Linked DNA regions of Cricetulus griseus. The protein of the gene in region 1 interacts with the protein of each later gene in a pairwise test. Links are inferred from orthologs where the notes say so. Each region holds a gene or a part of one and is shown in the gene's direction. Other genes may lie near its edges. The genes, in order: Tnik, Myt1l, Golga4, Trim2, Cnksr2, Sptbn1 and Wwc1.

Region 1 (4,092 bases):
GCAGCAGCCCAGGTGTTGGTGTACACTTGTAATCCAAGCACTTGGGAAGTGTTTGCAGGAGGATGAGTTCAAGGCCACCCTTAGCTCCACAGTGAATTAGAAGCCACGCTAAAGTACATGAGGTCCTTCCCCCACCCCCAAAGAAAGCAAAACAAAAAGCAAAGTAAAAACCCAAACCCGCAATGCAATGCACTTGTTCTCTTGTCTTAGATGTGAAAGGAACACCCTAGGAGCTATTGATGAAGGGAATGGAGAGAGTTCAGTATTAATGTCTTCTTCAAACGTATTTTGCGTGGCCAAACCAGGAGAGAGGAAGGTCTGTGGGGGCTGGGGAAGTGATTTCACATTTTTGATAACAGAAAGTCCTGTTACCACTGCAAACACCCAGCGTTTGAGTTAAAAAGCAGGTGAAGTCAAATTGCTAACATGTCAGCTCTTCCTCTCTCTGAGCTAAACTTTCCCCATCAATCCTGGTAGGTCACCAGGGAAAAGCAGCAGAGAAGGAAACGCTGGCTTTGGCGGCGGAGTGTCGCCCAATTAATGTCGTTCTGGGAGTCACCTGAAGCCTTCCAGCTACTGCACCCAAGGAGCAAGCTTTGCTTTTCAATTCGGTCATTTCCATGGGGAATTGCGGTACGCGCAGGTCTTGGGTGTGGCGATGTCGAGACGGAGCTCACATCTCCAGGCTTTCCACCTTCTGGCCAACCCACCCAGCTGAGAAAACTACGGATGAAACGGACCTGCCTTCCTGAAACTCAGGGACCGCGAAGGACCGAGACCAGGCGGCCACTGCCCAGCGCCAAAGCCAGGCTGCGCGCTCCGCGCGTGTAAGCTTCTCCCCAACCCGCTCTGTGCGGGGAGGCGGATCCCCTTTCCTGCGCACAAGTCCTTATATGCACCGGTTGCACCGGCCCGCCTTTACTCCAGCCCCACAAATAATTAATGGAGGAGGCTGGACGCTGCTGTCTTTTCCCGCTGCCTTTCCTCACCACCCTTTACACTATTAGAGCATCTGAATCCAGTCAAGAAACCCCAAGATGCGATCGAAGGGCCATTTTGGTGCATTGCACAAATTGGACACATTAAAAAATAGCCTTCGGATCTCTGTACAGCGAGGTTCAAGATCTGCTCTTCGATTCAGCACTATTAACCCGCAAAAACTGGGACGGAAAGGGTGCGCGCCCCTCCCCCACCCAGGCTAGTGCAGAGGGACCCGGTCAGGAAGCGCGGCCTCTCCCCAGTCGGAGACCACGCCTCCTCCCCCCCACTCCTCCCAGGAAGCGGTGATAGACAGTTCTGTGTGGTTCTCCACCCCCACCCCCCCAGCTGAGTGGAGGAGTTGATATGTCTCATTATAACAGCCAATGCAGCCGCCATCCACGCACAAGCAAAGAAGCATGTCCCATTTAAATACACCCACGCAGCCCCAGCGCCCTTAGCCGATCAGGGCGCGCAGCCCACACGCACCGCGGCTCCGGGCTTGGAGATCCGCGCAGGTCGGGCTCCGGGATCCCGCGGATCGACACTCTCGGAAGATCGGGATCTCACTCTGGTTGGGGCCCGGGTGGGCGGGGGAGGCTGGGCCCCGGGCCTCTCTGGCGGACAGCCGCATGAGGACGCGAGCGACATAGACCAGGGTGGAATTGCCAAGGCAGACGTTTCTGGCTGGTTTTGGTCCATTTCTCCCGCGAAGAGTCGACATGGCGAGCGACTCCCCAGCTCGCAGCCTGGATGAAATCGATCTCTCCGCCCTGAGGGTGAGCAGAACGTGGTTTTTTTTTTTTTTTTTTTTTTTTTTTTTTTTTTTTTTTTTTTTTTTTTTTTGTGTGTGTGTGTGTGTGTGTGTGTGTGTATGTTTGTTTGTTTTCCCCCCTTTCTTTTCAATGGTCTGGGGCTGGGCGAGGGAACGTTCCCGGTCTTCCTATCCTGATTCCAGGGCAGCGGATGGGGTTCTAGGCTGAGCCCCTACCCTACAGCAGGGGCTGGGCTGCCCTTGTGCTCCTCGACTGTGCTTCCCGAGGCTCCGCAGGGAAGCCGGTGGAGCTTATGTCAGTTTCATCTTCGATTGGTGTAAGAGAATTACATGGAAGGAGTGTGTGTGTGTGTGTGTGTGTGTGTGTGTGTGTGTGTGTGTGTGTGTGTGTGTGTGTGTGTGTGTGTGTGTGTGTGTACCCGAGCAACTGTCTCTTGCCAAGGCTCGAGACCCGACTGCTCTTTGCTGCAAAAAGAATTTCCTCAAGAATAAAGGCACTGGCCTCTCAGGTTTGCCAGCTACCTGCAAGATGCCATCGTGAGTCTAGCTGTCTCCACCAGCCGACCCTGTCGCTCCAAGGGGGCAGTAATTGCTGTTCCGGGCTGGTCTAGTAGATGGCAACTGACCCCTCCCGGGTTCTGCCTCTGGTGCGGGGGCTCAGGCTCAGCGCTTCCCTCGACGCCAGGGTGCACTCACCTTTATCTGCGGTTTGAACTCAGCCCTGCCTATGCCTTTCTAACTCGGTGACTGTGACCTTTCAGTTTTATGGCTGAACTTCAGCAGGTGAAAGGGACGCTTTAGCAGCTTCTCCCTACCACACCGGAACTCCCTGGAGAGACTGTGTGTGCGTGTGTGTGTGTGTGTGTGTGTGTGTGTGTGTGTGTGTGTGTGTGTGTGTGTGTGGTTCCCGGGTCTGTGACCAGTCCTTTGTAGAACACCTTCCCTTCCCCCAACTCTGCCGCTTTGCCTTTACCTTCTTCCGAGACACCTCAGACGTCGTTCCATTGTATTGAATAAGACTTTAGTGATCTAGAATCCATTTTGCTGTTGTTTGGAGATCATACTGCCAGGAACCCCATTGCAGCTTCGACGCTTCCCCACCCCCACCCCTAATCCCAGCACACTCCTTCGGGGAAGGGAGCCCAGCGTTCTTGCCATTTTAATTAGATGCTGCCTGCCAGGAAGGGGGTAAGGAGGGGTGGTGATGGTGGCAGCAGCAGGGATCTGAGAAAGATTGGACACCAATCTCAGTACGACTAGTTTCTTCCTCTCCTGAACTAAAAATAAAATAAAGAGCAAATGCATATGCTTGTTGCCAGTAGGGTAGGTGAGACTGAAGGGATGGTGGCTCATGTCACCGACTGTCAGTATAGGTGGAAGTTGAGTGATCTTCCTGAACACATTGTTAGATTGATGATGCTTAATCTCGAGGCCATTTACCTGTGTCTCGGAAGCTTTTCCTGCAGTTACCTCTTTCTCTACAGACATTTTTAAAAGGTAGCTACCTGTCTGATTGAAGTGATACTTTTTCCTTAGGCTCAGAGCCACTTTTCCGCCCACACCTTGAATCCTTGGCCCTTTCCTTATCTTTTGGTCCAGAAAGGTGGAGGATTCAGAGAGGCAGGCTGAGGACTGACTGACTGCCCTTTGAAACCGGCTGCGGGCTGCAGTGATAGTGGAGCAGCAAAAGCTCATTCATGCATGATTACAGTAGGCTGTCCGTTCCTCTAGTGCCCAAAGGCCACATCCGCAACCAGGGGGCAACTGAGTGTGGGGGTGGGGCTCAGAGTGGGTGCTTTGGGCCAGTGCATGTGTGACTCTCTTATCACTGTGCTCTCTTTTGCTCCACTTCTGCCTGGACCAGTGGCCCAGACTTGGGGAAGGAGGAGTGGCCAAGTGGTAGCTGCCTGAACAATGAGCCAGGCTTGTGATTTAGCTGAGACAGAATCTTAGCATCATTCTCCCTGACATGATTTTTAAGTTGGGGGGCGGGTGTATGGCTCCTGTGGGCCAGATTTTCTGAGATGCCTAGCGCACAGAACCTGTCCTCAGGGCTACTAGATTCTCATTCAGGGAGACCTGTGTCCTGTAATCTGTATTTGGAACAGGTATCTTTGCATGATTCACTAGGATTGCTCTTTGTCACCTGGGAAGCTCAAAGGATCCTCTGCCTTCACTGGGGTATGCAAAGAGCTAGGACAACAGCTACTCCCTGTGCCTGGGAGCTGATGGCTGAAAGACTTCTGCAGATGGGCAGACAGTTGTACTCAGCAGGCCTTGGAGCTTCAGGCAGTCTTGTGGTGGGTGAGGCGTGCAGGTACGTTTGCCTCCCAGGGCTA
Region 2 (3,500 bases), on another chromosome or scaffold:
AATGTAAGCACATGTGGCACTCAATGTGGCTGCCTGGCTATCAACCACCGGTGGCCTCTAGGGTAGAAGCCTTCACATTCTCATTTCCCATCATCTGTTGGCACCAAGGATACACAGTTTCATATGAAATAGAACTTTTTTTGCTAAGAAAAATTAAATGCATTATGCCACTGTTATTCTGGTCAGACATGGGGGAGGACAGTGACAGGAGCATCCAAGTAGATGCCCTCACTATGCAGTACTTCGGGCCTCAGCACCATGAATGAATGCCTTGCTGAGTGTGGCCTTAGTGACTCAGACTGACAGTTCTGTGGATATCAGCAGTGTTAGCAGGATGAAAGACATTGCTTTCTTGAATTACTTAAAGTACAGGTACTGTTAATTTCATTTTGCATAAAACAAAAATTATTAGACCCAGTAAAAGGAGCAGTACAGATGTGAATATCACCCTGGTTGTATGCCTGATGGGAATGGGCAAGTGCATAGAGGATTTACCAATAGTTCAGTCACCTCTAAACTTCTGCACTGCCAAATTGTCAGAATGCAGGCATCATCTCCATGACTTAAACCCCTAGAAAAGTATAGGCACCAACATATTTACACTTACAACTTCAAGATAAAAGAAAGTGATCAAAGTAAGATGAGAGAAATGCAATCATTTTTAAGATTTATTTTAGTAAAATGTGGCCCACAGATGTAGTGTTTTGGGCACATGAAATGCTGGGGCAGTACAGGACACAAGGCTCCTGGACTACAGCCCGGGTGCTTCTCTGTCTGCTGTGGCCCTGAACAGCCCTGAACAGCCTCAGTGTCTGTATCTGAGAGATGGATCTGCAGCAGCGTCAGTCCACAGGGAGGTGGGAAGTTAGAGAATCTGCCATATTTGGCCTGGGAAGCAATTACCACGGGACAGGATGCTGCAGGCCAACTGCCTGCTGTCCCTTAGCTCTGTGCCCACAGAACTGAATGGGAATGCCATCCTCTTGCTCTGACATAGCCTTACATAGTGAGACCCTGTCTCAAAAATGAAACAAGAAGATACCATGTTGGTTTTTTCCTGGACGGGTGACTAGCCTTCCCCATTTAAAAAGAAAACAAAATAAAACCCTCTTGGAAAGTGGTAGTAAATGCCTATAACACCAGCATTTGATTTGTTGGGTAGATGCAGTAGGTTCTTCAGGTCTAGACCAGCCTGAGCTATGTGGTTAGCCTTATCCCAAAGGCACCTTCATATGTGGTATTGAATTTTTGTAGTATTTTCATGTCTTGTTTTTTTATCAAATATTTTGATGATGCAGAATCATTGAGTTGACATTCACATTTCAAAGCATGGCAAGTGTAACCCTCATTGCCCATGTGTAGGCCTCTGCCTGGTGCCCCTGTACAGTTCTTTGTTCAGTCACTCAGGCACCCTGGTGTAAGCTGTGCTTGGTCTAAATCCACTATTCTCACACACATAGTTCTACAGTCATACTAATGGAACTTACAAAAGAGAGAGCAGAGAATGAATAGGTAGCCACTGAACCCTCATCCTACCCAGTGCAGGAGTTGCCCCTGTGCTTCTCTGAGGCTGATTGACTCACTAGCCCTGCAGAATTAACAGTGTGTCCAAGTGGCTGATGGCCCTCCATGAGCTTTATTGGAAACTGACTGTGGTCCCTTGGAAGGAATCTGGATGAAACAGTCGCTTATGCAATTTGTTTCCTAGTGTCCTGGGTGACATTAGAATGGGGTGGTCACTCTTACCCCAGGATCTGGTCATCATGGCCTCAACTGAAGTAACCTCAGTTTTATTAAAATGTTTTCCCATTACCATACCTCCCCCGAGTCTTTAGCAGGCAACATTTAATCGAGACTCACATTACCAGATAGGATTATTTCACTATGGTTGTTCATTTGTGTTTGGAGATGTTATAGTATGACCTACAAAGCCTGTGTTAACTCTTTTTAGAAGGTTTATGGTTCATTTTGTGTATTTTTGTCCTTTTTGGAGGACAATTGTCAAGATCAAGCTCTAGGTACAGAGCAGCTAATGACCCCAAGGCCTCAATCCCAGAGAGCAGTAGCCATCCACAAGGCTTCTCACAGGTACAGGTTACTACAAGAGTGACTAAGGTAGCTATTGCCTGTGGGGGAAAGCCCTAAGCATTGCACTAGCCTAGCCAAGCTGGTCCATGTACATGCCTGACCCCTAGTGCCATTCTCTGCCCCCTTAACAGTTCCCTTTATGTATTTCATCACTCTGAGGAGGGTAAACATGGTATCTCTATGTTGAATATCTAGTCTTGGTGAAAATGAATATCCTGTGCACTCAACTAGAAGTGCTTCTGTGTTAGTGAAAAGAACCCATCCTAATGAATCAACCTTGAAGGAGAGACATGTTAAGCAGCTCTGAAAATTAACCCTCACTCCCAAGTACTTGGTGGCTGCTTTTGAAGGTGCTGGCATAAAAGGAAGCTGATCAAAGGATCTGCAAGGAAAGACCCCCTGCAGGCAGATGAAGAGCTGACCCAGCTGCCCTCTGGTGTCCCACATTTGCCAGGGACAGATAGTTGTCCTTAGGTATATGCCAAGCTCACTCTTCCCTTTAACTCTAGAAGCCTGTGTAACAATTACAGGATAGAAGTGTTTGGCTCACAATATCTGGTACACATGCCATACCAGAAACTTTCTCACAAAGCCCATAGTCCCCACAGCCTTAGTGATGATTCTTGGGTATCCTGAGAATCTGGGCCAACTACACATATGGCTAGAAAGAGTGGTCAGACTCTTAATGGATCAGTCATGTATAGTAGCCAAGTCCTGTTTACCCAAATATGTAGATGGTGCAGCAGTCATGATCAGTCAAAGCAGGGCTGATCCTCTCACAGGGTCACCCCCAATACTCTGTTCATTCAAGCATGAACAGTGTAGACTGGGAAGAATGAATAACCCCCATTTCTGTGTGTGTAAAGATGGGTGGGTTGGGACCAGTTTGTGTGTGCAGCATCCTGAGTGCAGGGCCTAACCACACTGTCCTCTGTCTCTCCAGCCAAGCGGTACTGCAAGAATGCCAGCCCCAGCAGCAGCACCACCAGCAGTTATGCGCCCAGCAGCAGCAGCAACCTCAGCTGCGGTGGTGGCAGCAGCGCCAGTAGCACGTGTAGCAAGAGCAGCTTTGACTACACACATGACATGGAGGCCGCACACATGGCAGCCACAGCCATCCTCAACCTGTCCACACGTTGCCGTGAAATGCCACAGAACCTGTCCACCAAGCCCCAGGACCTGTGCACCGCCCGGGTATGCCCAGGACCTCAGCTGTGTCACGAGGGAGCTGGCTATGAGTTGACTCGCTGCCAGCCCTACAGCCCTGTACCTCAGAACAGTGGACAGGTGTCTTTGTCACCTCTAACTCTAGCTTGTGTCTGGGACATTAACACAACCATCACCCATGGCCTTTATGATATCTCAACTTCAGGGTACACAAAGCCAAAAAAAAAAAAGGTGCAGCTTGACAT
Region 3 (3,500 bases), on another chromosome or scaffold:
TGCCCAAATCCTGGAAATGGCACAGGCCAACTCAGCGGGGATCAGCGACACCGTGTCAAGACTGGAGGCCAACCAAAAGCAGCAGATTGAAAGCCTGACCAAAGCTCACCAGCGAAAACTTGATGACGTCACAGAGTGCTGGGAAAAGAGACTCAGTCATCAGGCTGAAGAATTGCGGGACCAGCATGAGCGGCGCGTAGAGGAGAAGGAACAAGAGCTGACAGAGCTGAAGCAGAAGCTGCTCACACTGGAGTCTGAAAAAGAGGAGGTGAGCAAGGCAGCTGTGGGGCTGAAGGAGGCGGCTGCTAAGCAGGGTGCGGTGCTCACACGTCTGCAGGAACAGCTAGAGCAGAAGTCTGCCCACATCGGCTCACTTTCTCAGAAGGAGGCGCAGTTGCAATCACAAGTTGAAAAGCTGGAGATGGATCTGGGTTGTTCTCTGAAGGAGAAGGCTTCTCTGGAGAAGGAGCTGGCGGACCTGAAAGTGCTGAGTGAGAGGGGGAGGCTCAGGGTCTCTGAGCTTCTGAGCAAGGTGCAGGCTGCAGAGGAGGAGCTCCGCAGCTGCAGGGCTGCTCAGGACAGCAGTAGGAAGAGCCTAGAGGACAAAAGCTTGACCCTCAAAACCCTGCTTGGGGAACTCGCATCTCAGTTAGACAGTCGCTGTGAGAAAACCAAAGCTTTGTTAGAAGCTAAAACAAATGAACTGCTCAGCGTCAGCGGTGACAAAACAGATGCCATTCTCTCTAGGCTTTCGCGCTGCCGGCAGCACACCGCCACAGTTAGGGAGGCACTGCTCATGAAAACAGGCCAGGTCTCTGAATTAGAAGCACAGCTTAAACAGCTGACAGAAGAGCAACACACACTCAAGAGCTCTGTTCAACAGGTCACCCATCAGCTGGAAGAAAAAGAAAACCAGATTAAGGCCATGAAGGCTGATATCGAGGGTCTCGTCACAGAAAAGGAAGCCTTGCAGAAGGAAGGAGGCCAGCAGCAGCAGGCGGCCTCTGAAAAGGAGTCTTGCATCACACAGTTGAAGAAAGAGTTATCAGAGAACATCAATGCTGTTACACTACTGAGAGGAGAGCTTTCGGAGAAGACGGCTGAGATTGACAGCCTTCGCACACAGCTCAGTGATCTCAGTGCTCAGCTGGAGAACAGCGTCAGCCTAAGTGACAAAGCAGCAGCCATGTCGTCACTGAGCAAGCAGCATGAGGAGCGACAAATGGAGCTGCAGGGTCAGCTGCAAGAGCTGTCTCTGAAAGTCGACACTCTGAGTAAGGAGAAAATGTCTGCTCTTGAGCAGGTAGATCATTGGTCCAACAAGTTCTCCGAGTGGAAGAAAAAAGCCCAGCCCAGATTCGCACAGTACCAGAGCACTATTAAAGACTTGCAGACACAGCTTGACGTGAAAGCCAAGGAGGCTGCTGAAAAGGGTGAGCAGATACAGCTGCTGAAGGAAGACCTTGATCAGCAGAATGAAAGACTGGAGTGTTTAAAGGCTGAGGTGGCAGACAGGAAGAACGAGATGGAGACGAAGGAGCGGGACTTAGAGGCCGAGTTAAAGGTGCAGGCGGCTCGGGTTGTTGAGTTAGAGGACTGCATTGCTCACAAGAGGAAAGAAGTTGAGTCCCTAAATGAAATACTTAAGAATTCCAACCAAGAGAAGGACACTGAGCGGAATGAACTGGTTCAGAAACTTCAACACTTTGAAGAGCTGGGAGAGGAGAAAGACAACAGGGTTAGGGAGGCTGAGGAAAATGTCCTGAGACTAGAAAAGCAAGTGTCCTCCCTGGAGACTGAACTTGGAATTATGAAGAAAGAGCTAGAACATGTGAGTTCAAGTGTGAAAAGCAGAGACGGGGAGTTAAAAGCTTTAGAGGACAAGCTCGAGTTAGAAAGTGCCTCAAAAGTGGAGCTGAAGAGGAAGGCGGAGCAAAAAATCGCTGCCATCAGGAAGCAGTTACTGTCTCAGATGGAAGAGAAAAAACAGCAGTATGAAAAAGATACAGAAAGCCAGTTGAGTGAGCTGAATGCAAAATTACAAGACAGAGAAAAGCAAATTCACATCCTGGAAGAAAAACTTAAAAACCTAGAAAGTTCTCTACAATCGGAGACAGTGATTATGTCCAGATCCATACAAAATGTGGCAGCATCTTCCGAACAAGAAGCAGCAGATTCCCAAGGCTGTACGCACAAGGCGTGTGAAGAAAGGATCCTCGCACTACAGAGAAGATTAGTTGAAAAAGAGAAGCTGCTGCACAGGTTGGAGCAGGGCACAGGTGAGTCGAAGTTCTCTCTGTCTGAAATGCAGTTCTCCATGAAGTTAGACCACACCCAAGCCAAACAACTGGACGATCAGATTTTGATAGGACGTCTTCAAGAAGAACTCGAAGAAAAGAAGATGAACTGTTCCTTCATTGCATCCCAGCCCATGGAAGAAGAAACTGGTAAAAACAATACAGGAATGAAGCAAAACTGGGCAAGTGTGGTTGACAGTGTCCAGAAAACCCTCCAGGAAAAGGAGCGAACCTGCCAGACCCTGGAACAGAAGGTAAAAGAACTGGAGTCAGACTTAGTAAGAGAGAGGGACTCACATAGACTTGAATTGGAGACGTTGACCTTAAAATACGAGAAATCGCAAGCCTCACAGCAAGAAATGGATGGGAAAAATAAATCTGTGGAAATTTTGGAAGATAGTTCTGAGGAAAATTCCAAATTGCAGGTGATCCAACCGAAATTGGGGAATAACATGGACACCCAGCGTAATGACCTGGAGTTAAAGTTAGCAGGGGCAGAGCGGGAGAAGCAGAAGCTGAGCAGGGAGGTGGCTAGGCTCCAGAAAGATCTTCGTGTGCTGAGAAAGGAGCACCAGCAGGAGCTGGACATCCTGAAGAGAGAGTGCACGCAGGAAGCGGAGGAGAAGCTCAAGTGAGTGCTGTTCCCACCTGGGTGGGTGGGTGCTCGCACGCACACACAGTCTGTAATGGAGACACGTGTATCTTCCCAAAGCGTTGCATAGATCCAGTAAGTTAAATGCTAAGGAGAAATGAAAATTTGGGGCAGAAGGCAGTGTTATTCCATGTTCATTAAGGGGACACACCTTGTCTTGCGGGTAAGATCGCAGCTGCTGGCTGCCTTGTCTTGAGTAATGGTCTCATTGTTGGCTGTCTTTAGCATAACACTGTGACAGTAACATTCATGTGTAGTGAAGAAGTTTAAAGTGGGAAAGAGCCGCTCCCCCGGCCCCAGGGTCAGTCACTGGAGGTAGTCAGGGTTTCGGTATCTCTAGTTTTCTCTACCTGGACACACTCACACTCAAAATTGCCTCCCTAACAGTGAGAGCACATTGTGCAAACTGCTTTGAAACCTCTTTGTAACTTGCTCTTTGGAGGCAGCTGTCACCGCTGTCCACTCTTGTTACTCAGACAGGAGCAAGAGGATCTTGAGTTGAAACACACTTCCATCCTGAAGCAGCTGATGAGGGAGTTTAATACCCAGCT
Region 4 (3,500 bases), about 50 Mb from region 1:
TATTAAAAGAGACATTCAGGAATAGAGATGTATATAGCTCAGTTGGTAGAGTGCTTGTCTGGTGTGCACGAGGCCCTGAGTTCAATCCCCTCTACTGAGTAAGCTGATCGTGGTGGCATTGACTTGTAGTCTCAGCACACGGGAGATGGAGCCAGAAAGGTCAGCAGCTTAGGGTCATCCTTGAATACATAGCAAGTTTGGGGCTAGCCTGGACTACATGAGACCCTGTCTCAAAAGAGATCTCTACCAGTGGCCTCATTGTAGTGGGTAAGAGAGTCCAATATTTTAGAAGCCAGGAGCTGGACAAGTTACAAAGGCCCACAGATGCTGTTTGTATTTTGTGGTCCCATGATATCTACCTACTTACATTGCTTCTTAAAATGCCAAGTGGGCCAAGCAAAATGGTCCAAAGAAACCAACCTGGGCATTTGTAAAAGAGGAAATGTTATGAGTTGATTTGTACCTATTATTTCATCACAACAAAATCAGATAAACTTTTATAGTTAGGCAACTTTAAGCTGTTGCCTATCCAGATAGGCACATTGAACTATAGACTCCAACAAGGAAAAATGAAATCTCAATTTGTCAGTGCACATGTGACAGCCATTGTAATATAAGATGTACAACCAACAAGTTCTACATCAGTGCCTCCAGTCATGGAGGGAGCAGGGGAGAAAGCAAGTGTAAGTGGAGACAGAGTTGTGTGTTTGGGTCCTCAATAGGACACAGCAGATGGATTGAATGCACGTCACAAAGGGAGTTACTACATTGGCTTACATGCCTCAGATGGATGAGTCCAGCCATAGTCGTCTATATGTTGGAGAGACCAAGAAACTGGTAGCCTTCTCAGTCTACTAGGCTGCTGCCTCGGTGGTCCCAATCTGGCGTAGACTCTAGGCCCTAGAGCAGTGGTTCTCAATCTATGGGTTGAGACCCCTTAGGGGGAGACATATATCAAATATCCTGCATATCAGATATTTACATCATGACTCATAACAGTAGCAAAATTACAGTTATGAAGTAGCAATGAAATCATTTTATGGTTGAGGGTCACCGCAACATGAGGATCTGTAGTAAAGGGTTGCAGCATTAGGAAGGTTGAGAACCACTGGCCTAGAGGATTCTAAGAGAGCTTTGGGTCTTCTTCAGCCTGTGTTGAAAAGCTAAAGAATCTGGGTTCCAGCCGGGCAGTGGTGGTACAGGCCTTTAATCCCAGCACTTGAGAAGCAGAGGCAGGAGGATCTCTTGAGTTTGAGGCCAGCCTGATCTACAGAGCAAGTTCCAGGAAGAAGAAGAAGAAGAAGAAGAAGAGGAAGAGGAAGAAGAAGAAGAAGAAGAAGAAGAAGAAGAAGAAGAAGAAGAAGAAGAAGAAGAAGGAGAAGGAGAAGAAGAAGAAGAAGAAGAAGAAGAAGAAGAAGAAGAAGAAGAAGAAGAAGAAGAAGAAGAAGCTGGGTTCCTGTGAGCAAAGGTAGTGGCAGTAGCAACAACAAGGTGGATGCATTTACCAGCCACGACTGAAGGCAGTGGACCAAAAGCAATAACTTCTCTCTCAGACCTCCTTATGCCTGCACCACCACCAGGAGGTGCTGCCCATGCTGAGCAAGAATTACACCCCCTCCCCTCAGCTAATCTTTTCAGGAAATATACTTACGGATGTTCCTAGAAGCTATGTCATAGCTGTTTCCGGATCCAACCAAATCAACAACCAAGGTTAATCATCAAATTAATCATGAATCATGTGTGTACAGGGGCCTGCACAAACCTAGAAAGTTTATTTATTTATTTATTTATTTATTTATTTATTTATTTATTTATTTATTTATTTATTGAGACAGGGTTTCTCTGTGTAACAGCCCTGGCTGTTCTGGAATTCACTTTGTAGACCAGACTGGCCCTGAACTCACAGAGATCCACTTGCCTCTGCCTCCCGAGTGCTGGGATTAAAGGCTTACTCCACCACGGTCCAGCACCCAGAGGGCTCTTTACATACTTTTTAAAATTCATGTCCGTCAGCATATGTAACTTTGATGATGCTCTGATTTTATGTCTGTGCAGGTCTTCGATGGGAGTGGCTCATTTTTGTCCTATATCAACACATCGGCTGACCCTCTTTATGGCCCCCAAGGCCTGGCCCTAACTTCAGATGGCCATGTTGTGGTTGCAGACTCTGGAAACCACTGTTTCAAGGTCTATCGGTACTTACAGTAACAGCGGACACCCCTGCACTGAGGTCTTGCACTAGAAACTGGAACGGAGTTTTCAATGTGGGACCAGATTACAATAGGACTTTTCATACTAGGAAGAACCTTTGGTGAACTTTCCAAGGTTATTTCTGAATGTAACGATTTCCTTAAAAACTGCTTATCCAATTCCGTAATTCACTTTTAGGATTTAAAGAGAACCTCTTCTATTGAATCTATACAAGCTTCGAAGTTTTACACCTGTGAACTATGGCTTATAGGACAGGGATTTATGCAGTTAAACTAATTTTGCAAATCAGACATTAAAAGAATTAGCATATCTGTTGACCGGTGAATGAATGGTAGCCTTTGCATCGAGCTTCCAAGAACAAAACTTGTAGTTACCTATTTTATTTAACTTTGGTCACAAGACCCAAGGGACCTTCTAACCTCACTTTTACAGTAGATGTTATTACTGGTGACTTTTTGGGGGGTGGTTATCAACAACCATATATAAATTACTTTAGAAAAATCTAAGGCTGTCTTGCAAGATCCTCCCAGCTCTGACTCAGGGCCCTCTTGAGTTGAGCCCATCAGAATCAATGCAAATTTCCCAACCTTTCTGGGTTCGATCAAAGATCTTTTTCGTGTGTTCTCTTCACCTTCTCTTTCTACTCACCTTGCATCAGAAAATGAAATATAGCTTCAGGAAAACCTGAATTCCCGATGCTTTGAAAGGCATATGGCAAAAGCAAGGGGGACCTCTTGGTTGTTAGCTTCAGATCAACACACTGGGATGTAACCAAAAGAAGTCATGTTCATGCCATGTGTTCACATGTCTTTCCTCTTCCACATCATGAAAGCGAAAGCTTTACCTCCTGTAAAATGTCAGCACATGTAGTCAGACACCAGTGTCCTAGGACAGAGAGCCATAAGCAGCCCTTTGGAGGACAGATGGTGTCAACCAAAGGCATGTGATTGATTAATGACTTCCCCTTAGAGAACAAGTGTTACCAAAGTTCTGTTGAGCATTACAGGTACGGGCATGTTATGGTTATTTATCATTGTCTAATGAATAGTAGAGGCATTAAGGGACACGTATACATGGTTAGGGTAAGATAGAATGTATTATACATTTTATATATATATATATATATAGCTGAATCCATGGTGTGTGGAAATAGGAAGCACTCTGAAAGACAGCAGCATTGCCCAGCCTCCTTCAGCACATAACCTTGCTGCTGCAGTCTGAAGCCGTCCTGGTGGAGTGAGCCCTACAGCAGTTTTGAGTGTTGCCATTTTCCAGCACGATGCTGATGC
Region 5 (3,500 bases), on another chromosome or scaffold:
AACTCTGTCAGGCAACAGACATGCACATGATGCTCTTACATGCATTCTGAAAAAACAAGTCTTACACATAAATTCCTCTTCTTAAAATGATAGAAAATTTTGTACTAAAAATGTACAGCTATTTTGTTTATTTGGCCTGAAATGTTCTTCCCTTTTACTTTGTTGTTGTTTATGTTCTAAAGATCAAACCCAGAGCTCAATACTTCCTGCACAAATGAGCACTCTACCACTAAACTACTTCTTCGGCCCCCAAAATTTTTTATAAAACATGTTTTACTTTGAAAGTTATTTTCTATACTCATTTTAATATAAAAATAATGTGTGTATTTTAATTTTTAGAAATTCTAAGTTTTCAAAATATTCCTTTAAACTGTGGATATGTAGAATTAATGAAATGCAAGTGGAATTATTAACTAAATGAGTAGCACATTTATTACTCTAAATATTTAAGTCATACTTACATGGTTTAATTAGCTTCAGACCTCGTTGGTATTATACATTAACAAAAATGTTGTTTGTTTAGGATGAAAAAGCAGAAGGATTCATCAGTCTGCCTGAATTTAAAATTGATAGAGCCAGTGAATGCCGCAAGAAATAGTAAGTTAAATTTTCTTGGAGAAAGGGGGAAGAAGGGATAATTTATTTTGTAATTTTCTAGATTTTAAGTTATAGTTTAGCAGAAGCTTTGAAATTAAAATTATAAGAAAGTAGTTTCAGGGATATAGCATGAAATTTTACTTAATTAATTCTGTCATGATAGAAGCATTATGTATGTGAAGTTAGGTTAGACATTGCATTAATTTTATTCATAAATATTTAGTTTGAGCCAGCAAGATGTCTCATGATTACATGCAATCCCGATGACCCAAATTCAATCCTAGAATCCATGGTTAGAGGGAACCAGTTCTTAAAAGCTTTTCTTTGGCATGTGCACATACATAAAAACACCAGTGATGATAATGTTAATAATAAATAAACAAAATAGAATACTTTTGGTTTTATTTCAAGACAAGAGTTTCACATTGTAGCTCTGGCTGTCCTGGAACTCTCTGTAGACCAAGCTGGCCTCGAATTGAACAGAGGTCTGTCTGACTCTGCCTCCTGGGTGCTGGGATAAAGGTGTGTGCCACCATACAGGTTTCAAATTATAATTTTATTAAAAATTTTTCAGGCAATATATTGATCACATTCTTTTGCCTGTCCCAATTCTAATACAAAATTTTAAAGGTATTTGAATTAAAACCTTTTTACATTTTGTAAAAAAGTAAATGTAAGCCAGGCATTGGTGCACACCTTTAATCCCAGCACTCGGGAGGCAGAGGCAGGTGGATCTCTGTGAGTTCGAGGCCAGCCTGGTCTCCAGAGCGAGTGCCAGGATAGGCTCCAAAGCTACACAGAGAAACCGTGTCTCAAAAAACCAAAAAGAAGTAAATGTAACTCATTTTTTGTGGTTATATTCACAGTGCATTCAAAGCCTGCCATCCTAAAATCAAAAGCTTTTATTTTGCTGCTGAACATCTTGATGACATGAACAGGTAAAGTATTATTTACATCTCAAATTACTTAATTAAGCATTGTCTTCAATAATTTTTAAAGACTCCCATTGTAGATTCTGTATTAATTAATGAAAATTTGAGTAGTCCAGCTATAGTTGCATATGATTATACTTCATTTTACAAAAAATTGCCTAATTCATTATTTAAATTTCACATGCACACAATACAATTCATATTTAAATAATAATAATGGATAACATTTTAGAACTTCAACTTTTGTTGACTGTCAATTCTAACACAAAAGTACGATAACAAATATAAATCCAAAATATTACCACAAAAGGGGTTGTTTTTAGATGTTAAATTTAAGGAGATTTCTTAACATGTATTTCTAAATTCTCTAAAAGGCACACAAAACCTGACTTACTCAAGTCCTAAGTATATTTGGTAGAATATACATTTCAATAATTTAGGTCTACTATCTAATGTAGTAATTCTTCTTATCACCTTCATCTGTCACTGGACAGGCTTATATAGCCAACTGGTTTGATGGCTGTGTTTATTTGGTGGCTAAAGGAAAACCTACGTATAGTTTCCTCTTTGTATCCCACATTGTTTCACGATACAATTTTAGTCATTTAAAGCTACTTTTCTTTATTTCCTTTCATTTTCCTTTTCTATTTAAAAAAATTATAGAAACTGGGCATAAAATGAAAATGTCCTCCGTTTTATAATTGCAGAAGCCAATGTATATTGTGTATAATTTCCCTACATTTAGGAAGAGGCATCAAAGACTAGTGACCAGAACTGTGACCTTTTAGACAAGACTGAATCCTAGATTACAACTCATTAGCTATGTAACCTTATGCAAGAAACTTAGCTTTTCTGTACTAAATAAATGACCCATTTATATAAATGAGAAAAATCGCCCTTAGTAGGTTTTTTTTATGCAACCTAAGTCTTCAGTAGTAATAAGCATTAGTGTTTATATACTTTTGTTCTCTTACCTCATTTACTTTTCTTTAGATGCCTTTAATGATACCTGAACATTTTAAGCACAAAATTGTGCTGCTTCATGGTTTTATCCCTAGTATTTACTTTCAATAGGCAATTTTTAAAAACACTTGAGTTTTTGTTGTTTTTTGATGAAATTATTTTTTATAAATTTTTATTTAAATTAGAAACAAGCTTCTTTTACACATCAATCTCAGTTCCCTCCTCCTCCCTTCCTCCCCTCCTCCCCTACCCCCCACTGGCCTCCTATCGCATCCCCTTTCTGCTCCCCAGGGAGGATGAGGCCTTCCATGGGGATCTTAAAAGTCTGTCATATCATTTGGAGCAGGGCCTAGGTCCTCCCCCCATGTGTCTAGGGTGAGAGAGTATCTCTCCATGGGGAATAATCTGGCTCAGTCATTAAAGGCTAGGCTCACAACCAAAAATATAAAAAAAAATGCTTGTTAATGGGATAAAATAGTCAGTGCTAAAAACATTTACATATTAGTAGTGATCTGGAACGGTACCCATGTAAAGCTTTGTTTGGTTACCTGATTATTATTATACATTAACAAGATAATGTGGGTATTGCTTTATTCCATATGTAATCTTTGAAAGCATGCCTAATTCAAGAGAGGATATATTTTTAAATGAACATAATCATAGTTAATACATGCTTTATCTGGTTATTTTATGGCTTTAAAGGGCATTATTTTTGTATTACATTATAGCACAGTACAAAATAATATATATTTGTACTCTAAATTTTTTTCAAAAGTATGTAATGCCAGTAGTAACAGGACCTAGTAATTAGGGTATAAAAGTATTCATTAAATTCAGTTTTTCCATAAAATCTGTATACACAGATATGTGCACTTTCTCTCTCTCTCTCTCTCTCTCTCTCTCTCTCTCTCTCTCTCTCTCTCTCTGTGTGTGTGTGTGTGTGTGGTGTGTGTGTGTGTGTGTGTGTGTGTGTGTGTGTGTGTCCTTTTAACTAAGATTCCTGGTAGA
Region 6 (3,500 bases), on another chromosome or scaffold:
AAACACAAGAAACTCCCTGAGGAGCTTGGACGAGATCAGAACACTGTGGAGACCCTACAGAGAATGCACACCACCTTTGAGCATGATATCCAGGCTCTGGGCACTCAGGTGGGTGGAGCTGCCCAGTGCAAGGAAGGCTCCTTGTAAGATTATCTTTGTGCATCATGAGCCTCTCTGTATCCCATGGCTACTCAGAACATATCTGAAATGACTACCCAGATTAAACACGTGTGTACACACAAACTCCACACACAGGAAAGCTTTGCAGTCTGTACAGTTTTGAATTTGTCATGCTTGCAAATATTGTTAGATGAAAATGCTGGTGTTTAAATTAGTAGAGGCACATGTAAGCATTTGCAAGTTAATAGGCCTGAATACAAGTTTCTATTAGTTAACATGACCATCAGGATCACTTGGAAAATAATACCTCATTTTTTTCCCACCAACCATCCCAAGAAAGAAATCTATACTTTTTTATTTGAATAATATTAGTTTATTTTTCTGCATTGATTATTTTCATTAATTTTTTAGGTTAGCAGACAAATTGATAAATCTGAAGTCATATTGATAAATGGGTGTTTTATATTTGTTTCCATTATTCCCCTTTCCCCACTGCCCCACTCCTTGTTCCCTGACCCTACTTCCCTTCCTTTCCTCAGATGGCCCCACTTCTGCTTTCTTGTGGTATATATTTCATTACTTTCTCCTCATCCCTATCCCCAAGATCTCTTCTTTTCTCTTTGGATCTTCTTCCTAGTAGAGACTAGACCCTAACGTTTTAACACACCTGATCTTTTAGCTCCAGCACTGCAGTAAGTGGCTTAGCACTGAAACTGTGCTTCAAAGGTGTTGACAAAGTGAACAGTGTAGCAGTGAGACTCCAATGTGATCACTCTCATCGCCTTCTAATCTCGGTAGCTTCCTGATTAGTCTGAGATCTTGCAGTTGAAAATGCTTTCTAGAGAAGAAGCTGGTTTTGTTTGACTTTCTAATCCTGAGCTGGTCAGGACTTATTAAGAAAAAAAAAAAAAAAAAAACGGGTTACTGCAGGGTCAGTAGGAGACCAGATGGTATATAGTTTTGACTTTGTGGCTATGCTATCTCTATTGGATACAGATGCTGTGCTGCTGTTTTAGGATAAGCAACCCAGTGGGTAAATGAATGGGCAGAGGCTATGTTCCAGTAAATAATTAACCCACATCCCCACCAATAAAGGCCCACACTTGGCCCTGGTGGTTTCAGTTGAGTATCATCAGCTTCACTATGCGCCAGTACTTTGACTTGTTCTGTGGAGGGATCCTCGTGACTGCCATTATCTTCTGACCTCCATTTAGATTCTTGGTTCTGCCACTTTCTGTGGCTGGGAGTTAACCTACTCCTCTACACTTTAGTTTCCTGATGCTTTGAGGATTGAAACAATTCTTGTAAGACATAAGCCCTAGGGTAAGATCTGACACTGTCCCAGTCATATAACAAATGCTAAGGAGCACTTTTGAGATACCTAGAGACTATCAGGAAACAGATCTTTCCTCTGCATTTGTAAAACTATTTTCTTTAGAACTATAGGAGGCTCAAGAGATGGTGAAAGTGGTTTCCTGTTTTTATTTAAATCGCTTTGCCTCACGAGAATGGTGAGTCTTAATACCCATAGAACAAAAACCAACTCCCTTAAGCCTGCTGGATTGCACCTACCTTACCATCTCACTGAGAAAGCAATTTCGAGCCATAAAAAGATGTGTGTCCCTCCTGCAAGCACTCCCCTATCGAATCAGTACAAAGGAGAAGGCGGCCCTGGCACAGGCTCCTCGTCTGTTTGGCTGTGTTCTCTTGTGCTGCCTTGACCTGCCACTGTTTCCATTCCATATAGGGGTACAGCAGTGGGAAGGGAGCAGTCAATCAGGAACAGTCTTGAGTACTTAATTGCTGTGTGAATTTTCCCTGTGTTAGCTTCTCCCACCTTTTATTTTGAGAATCTATAAGAAAAAAAAAAAAAAAAACAGACACAAGAAATGATGATTTGGATGTTTGGATGATAGGAAAATTGATTTTCAAGTCATTTCCTACAAACTTGCTCATGATAGTCTGAAATACATACCTTAAAAGTAGTTTGGTATTAGAGACTATTTCTCAAAGTACCATAGATGTGTGTAGCAGTCAGTGTCTTGCCTGTCAACCTGAAATGGTGGCCACACCCCTTTGGGTGTGGCTTCAGGCAGACTAAAGCAGAAAGAGGGAAGCTAAAGTGTGGTCTCTCTTGCACAGATCTTTTCTCTTGGGTCAGCTGATCTGGAGGGAAGGGGAGAGAAGTGCTTCCATGGTTCTTTATATCTTTCTGTGTAAGTGTCCCCAATAAACACCCATTTATCATTTATCATGGGTCTAGTGAAATCATTACACCCAGTGCCTTCAGATGTGTAAACCAAATCCCATTGATTCTTCTGTGTATATTTTTTCAGAAATTTCATGTTCTTGCCACCACTTAAAATCCATTTGTACAATTAATGGTCATAGTCTACCTTCTCCCAATTCACAGCATTGGGTGTCCCCATCTCATTGTCCCTGGAAGGTCCTTACCTGGCATTTTTCCAGCTACTTCTTACAGACATCCAAAGGCTCATCCAGGACTATTGTCTGTAGACTTTGGTCACATAATTTTATCTCCAGAAAATGTCGGGTTTGTGTCTCAATGTATGACACTGCTAATATGTTAAGTGTTTTATATACAACATAGTAAAAATACACATCTAAGTATTAGATAGTCAGCAGGTGTGATGGCACACACATTTAGTCCCAGTACTCGGGAGGCAGAGGCGGGTAAACCTCTGTGAGCTTGAGGCCAGCTGACATGGTGAGTTTCAGGATAGCCAGGGCTACATAAAGATAGAGAAGAGAGACTTTGTCTCAAAAAAAGGAAGGGAAGGGAAGGGAAGGGAAGGGAAGGAAGGAAGAAGGGTCACTGGTTTTATTATAATGGAAAACCCCCACCATTATCTAAAGTGATAGCCTGTTTTTCACCCTTTTGGCACAGAAAGAGTGTTAACTTTAAAAGAAATATTGGTGTGTGTTGTGGAGGCATGCATACCTTAGCTGTACATGTGTGGGTAAGATGACAACTCTAGAGTTGGTCCCCTCCTTCTACCATTGTGTGTGCGTTTCGACATTAAAACTCAGATCATCACGCTTATATGACCCATGCCTTTACCTGCTGAGCCATCTGTCACCCCCTACCCCCACCCCGACCCGCTTTTGAAGTTAGGATCTTATGTAGCCCAGGCTGGCATGGAATTCACTATTTAGCTGAAGGTGACCTTGAGCTCCTGATCCTCCTGCATCTACCTCAAGTTTGGGGATTATAGGTGTGTGCTACCACACCCAGCCAGTCAAGGAGAATATACCTAGATGTGCCCCTGCAAAACAATGTCTTTACGTCTCAGGGTACCTGTGGGGAACCTTTCCTCAGCTACCCTGTCTGTGTTCCTGTACATTTCATTTGTTTCATT
Region 7 (2,253 bases), on another chromosome or scaffold:
GCTCAGTCTTAATTATCATAAATCTATATATTTTATAAGACTTATCAGACGCCTTATTGGCATCCCTCCTTGCCAGTGGATCACATTGTGCTGCTGGAGGAGGAGCAAGGGGAAAAAGGGACCCTTCCTGTTTCTCCTTCGCTTAAATATGAGTCTCCTTGCTATGTCACTTCCTGCTTGGATCACCACTTCTCTACTACATTTTCCAGAATCCTCTTTGACTCCTAGTCCCGTCTAACTAGCTGTCTCATTGGTCAAACAGTATTTTATTTAACAATCAATAAAATAAACATACACAGTACATTCCCCATCAGGTAAGGATGTACACCTCCCCGGGCATTTCATCTCATTTCCTACAGGCACACATAGGACTTCTGTTCCCTGGCCCCGTGCTCAGGCCTCATAGGTAGATGATGTGAGCACAGCCTGTTATCCTTCTGCATAAAGCAGATCCCATGGTACAATTTACACTGCTGAGAGCAAGCACTACAGAGCAGAGGACTCTCTCCCATGTCAAACCCTTGTTTGCTTTGCCTCACAGGTCGATCGTGCAGAACATAAGGGTGAGCTGCAAACAGATAAGATGATGAGGGCAGCTGCCAAGGATGTGCACAGGCTTCGAGGCCGGAGCTGTAAGGAGCCTCCAGAAGTGCAGTCTTTCAGGTGAGTCGGTGATCCCAGACTGATGCCTTCTGCTACCCAGTCAGCCCATCTTTACTGGCCTCACTGTTCCCAGACCGTGTTCCTGGGCATTGCCTCTGTTGCTAGCGGAGCTGTAGCCTGCACTGGAACAGCTGTTCATTCTCTGCCAGGCTCCCATAACGCTGTGAGCACTGTGTGCTGTTATCTGTCCCTGCACAACTCAGCCCAATTTGTGAGATCCTGTTGTTTAATGAATGAGCCACCTGCTTCATCCTTTCCTCTTAGCCTTCTGGTACTGGTAATTGCAGAGGCCTGGCTTGTGATGCGGGGGAGGGTGCTATGGATACTCACCTAATTTCCTGGCTTTGCCTGCCTGCCTGATAGGATCACAGCTTTATCTTTGCCCTGCTGGGCCTACACATATCAGAGGAGGGTCACAAGTGCCATTTGGCCTGGGCCTCCCAAAATAAAGGGATTTAGTCACCCTCCATCCACCACATTGTGAGTTCAAGGCCAACCTAGGGTTTCATGAGACCGTGTGTGTGTGTGTGTGTGTGTGTGTGTGTGTGTGTGTGTGTGTGTGTGTGTGTGTGTGTGTTGTGTTTCCTGTGTTGATCAAAAGATCTAATGGGTCCTTAACCAGGCATGATTTTGTCTCTTGTGTCACTGCAAGGGACATCTGGCAACATTGATACTTTATTTTTTTTTAAAGGTGGGTCTATGTTTCTAAGACTTCAGAAACATGGACTCGAGATATGTTTCTCTATCGGCCTCTTTTGTTTCTGGGACCAGAGACCTGTACCACTATGCTCAGAGTCTACAGGTTTCAGATTTTATAACCAGAGTTCAGACATGCTAATAGCATTTAGTAGCAGCCAGAGCTGTCACTAAATATCCTACAGTATATTGCAAAGAATGACCCAGCCCAGGGATTGGGACGTAGCTCAGTGGCAGATTGTGGCTTGGCATACATGATGCCCTGAGTTTCAGACCCAAAACAGAAAGACTTCCGAGTGACCTTGAGACACCTGTTCTCTATCACAGGGAGAAGATGGCATTTTTCACCCGGCCTCGGATGAACATTCCAGCTCTCTCTGCAGATGACGTCTAACCACCAGAAAAGTATTTTTTTGTTTCACGGACCATGCTGTGAAGGTTGACTGTGGCTAAAGTTATTTATGAGGCATTATATGAAGGTACCAAGTCACAAGTCCCCAAGCGCTCTTGTTGGTTTGAAGATGACAGACTTTTTAGTTCAGGTTTTCTTGTTATATTTAAACAATGACATAACAACAACAACAACAAACCAAACAAACAAACAAACAAAAAAACCAGCATTAAAATGACAAGATTGTATAGTTTGTATATTTAGGAATGTATTTTTGGGAAAGAAAATTTAAATGAACTAAAGCAGTGTTAAGTGGCTGCTAGTCTTCAAATTGTCTAGAGTTTTCTTTTTGTACAGCAACAACTTTTAGAGATTTCCCTGCAATAAAAAAAGTCATGTTTGGGGAACGATAACCCTCAAAAAGAAGTGCTGCAGACGGCACAGCACAGCTAACCTGCCCTAGGTAACGTATTTTGTACAATATTACAAAGAGGAGGATGTAC

Evidence for each region.
Region 2: the proteins of Tnik (region 1) and Myt1l interact in a two-hybrid assay, tested with the Homo sapiens proteins (2 studies listed by IntAct). The link is inferred for Cricetulus griseus from reciprocal best matches to the Homo sapiens genes TNIK and MYT1L.
Region 3: the proteins of Tnik (region 1) and Golga4 interact in a two-hybrid assay, tested with the Homo sapiens proteins (2 studies listed by BioGRID and IntAct). The link is inferred for Cricetulus griseus from reciprocal best matches to the Homo sapiens genes TNIK and GOLGA4.
Region 4: the proteins of Tnik (region 1) and Trim2 interact in a two-hybrid assay, tested with the Homo sapiens proteins (2 studies listed by BioGRID and IntAct). The link is inferred for Cricetulus griseus from reciprocal best matches to the Homo sapiens genes TNIK and TRIM2.
Region 5: the proteins of Tnik (region 1) and Cnksr2 interact in a two-hybrid assay, tested with the Homo sapiens proteins (2 studies listed by BioGRID and IntAct). The link is inferred for Cricetulus griseus from reciprocal best matches to the Homo sapiens genes TNIK and CNKSR2.
Region 6: the proteins of Tnik (region 1) and Sptbn1 interact in a two-hybrid assay, tested with the Homo sapiens proteins (2 studies listed by BioGRID and IntAct). The link is inferred for Cricetulus griseus from reciprocal best matches to the Homo sapiens genes TNIK and SPTBN1.
Region 7: the proteins of Tnik (region 1) and Wwc1 interact in a two-hybrid assay, tested with the Homo sapiens proteins (2 studies listed by BioGRID and IntAct). The link is inferred for Cricetulus griseus from reciprocal best matches to the Homo sapiens genes TNIK and WWC1.

What each region holds. Positions count from the first base shown.
Region 1 is NW_023276806.1:120,727,922-120,732,013, reverse strand, and holds the start of Tnik (TRAF2 and NCK-interacting protein kinase), read left to right. Parts: upstream 1-1,292; 5' UTR 1,293-1,700; coding exon 1,701-1,757; intron 1,758-4,092. UniProt on the Homo sapiens protein: Serine/threonine kinase that acts as an essential activator of the Wnt signaling pathway. Recruited to promoters of Wnt target genes and required to activate their expression. May act by phosphorylating TCF4/TCF7L2.
Region 2 is NC_048600.1:31,917,859-31,921,358, forward strand, and holds part of Myt1l (myelin transcription factor 1-like protein), read left to right. Parts: intron 1-3,031; coding exon 3,032-3,282; intron 3,283-3,500. UniProt on the Homo sapiens protein: Transcription factor that plays a key role in neuronal differentiation by specifically repressing expression of non-neuronal genes during neuron differentiation.
Region 3 is NC_048597.1:225,626,509-225,630,008, forward strand, and holds part of Golga4 (golgin subfamily A member 4), read left to right. Parts: coding exon 1-2,928; intron 2,929-3,425; coding exon 3,426-3,500. UniProt on the Homo sapiens protein: Involved in vesicular trafficking at the Golgi apparatus level. May play a role in delivery of transport vesicles containing GPI-linked proteins from the trans-Golgi network through its interaction with MACF1. Involved in endosome-to-Golgi trafficking.
Region 4 is NW_023276806.1:70,244,562-70,248,061, forward strand, and holds part of Trim2 (tripartite motif-containing protein 2), read left to right. Parts: intron 1-2,055; coding exon 2,056-2,208; 3' UTR 2,209-3,500. UniProt on the Homo sapiens protein: UBE2D1-dependent E3 ubiquitin-protein ligase that mediates the ubiquitination of NEFL and of phosphorylated BCL2L11. Plays a neuroprotective function. May play a role in neuronal rapid ischemic tolerance.
Region 5 is NC_048604.1:93,005,677-93,009,176, reverse strand, and holds part of Cnksr2 (connector enhancer of kinase suppressor of ras 2), read left to right. Parts: intron 1-523; coding exon 524-597; intron 598-1,463; coding exon 1,464-1,535; intron 1,536-3,500.
Region 6 is NW_023276807.1:77,212,564-77,216,063, forward strand, and holds part of Sptbn1 (spectrin beta chain, non-erythrocytic 1), read left to right. Parts: coding exon 1-108; intron 109-3,500. UniProt on the Homo sapiens protein: Fodrin, which seems to be involved in secretion, interacts with calmodulin in a calcium-dependent manner and is thus candidate for the calcium-dependent movement of the cytoskeleton at the membrane.
Region 7 is NC_048600.1:50,876,423-50,878,675, reverse strand, and holds the end of Wwc1 (protein KIBRA), read left to right. Parts: intron 1-541; coding exon 542-663; intron 664-1,686; coding exon 1,687-1,753; downstream 1,754-2,253. UniProt on the Homo sapiens protein: Regulator of the Hippo signaling pathway, also known as the Salvador-Warts-Hippo (SWH) pathway.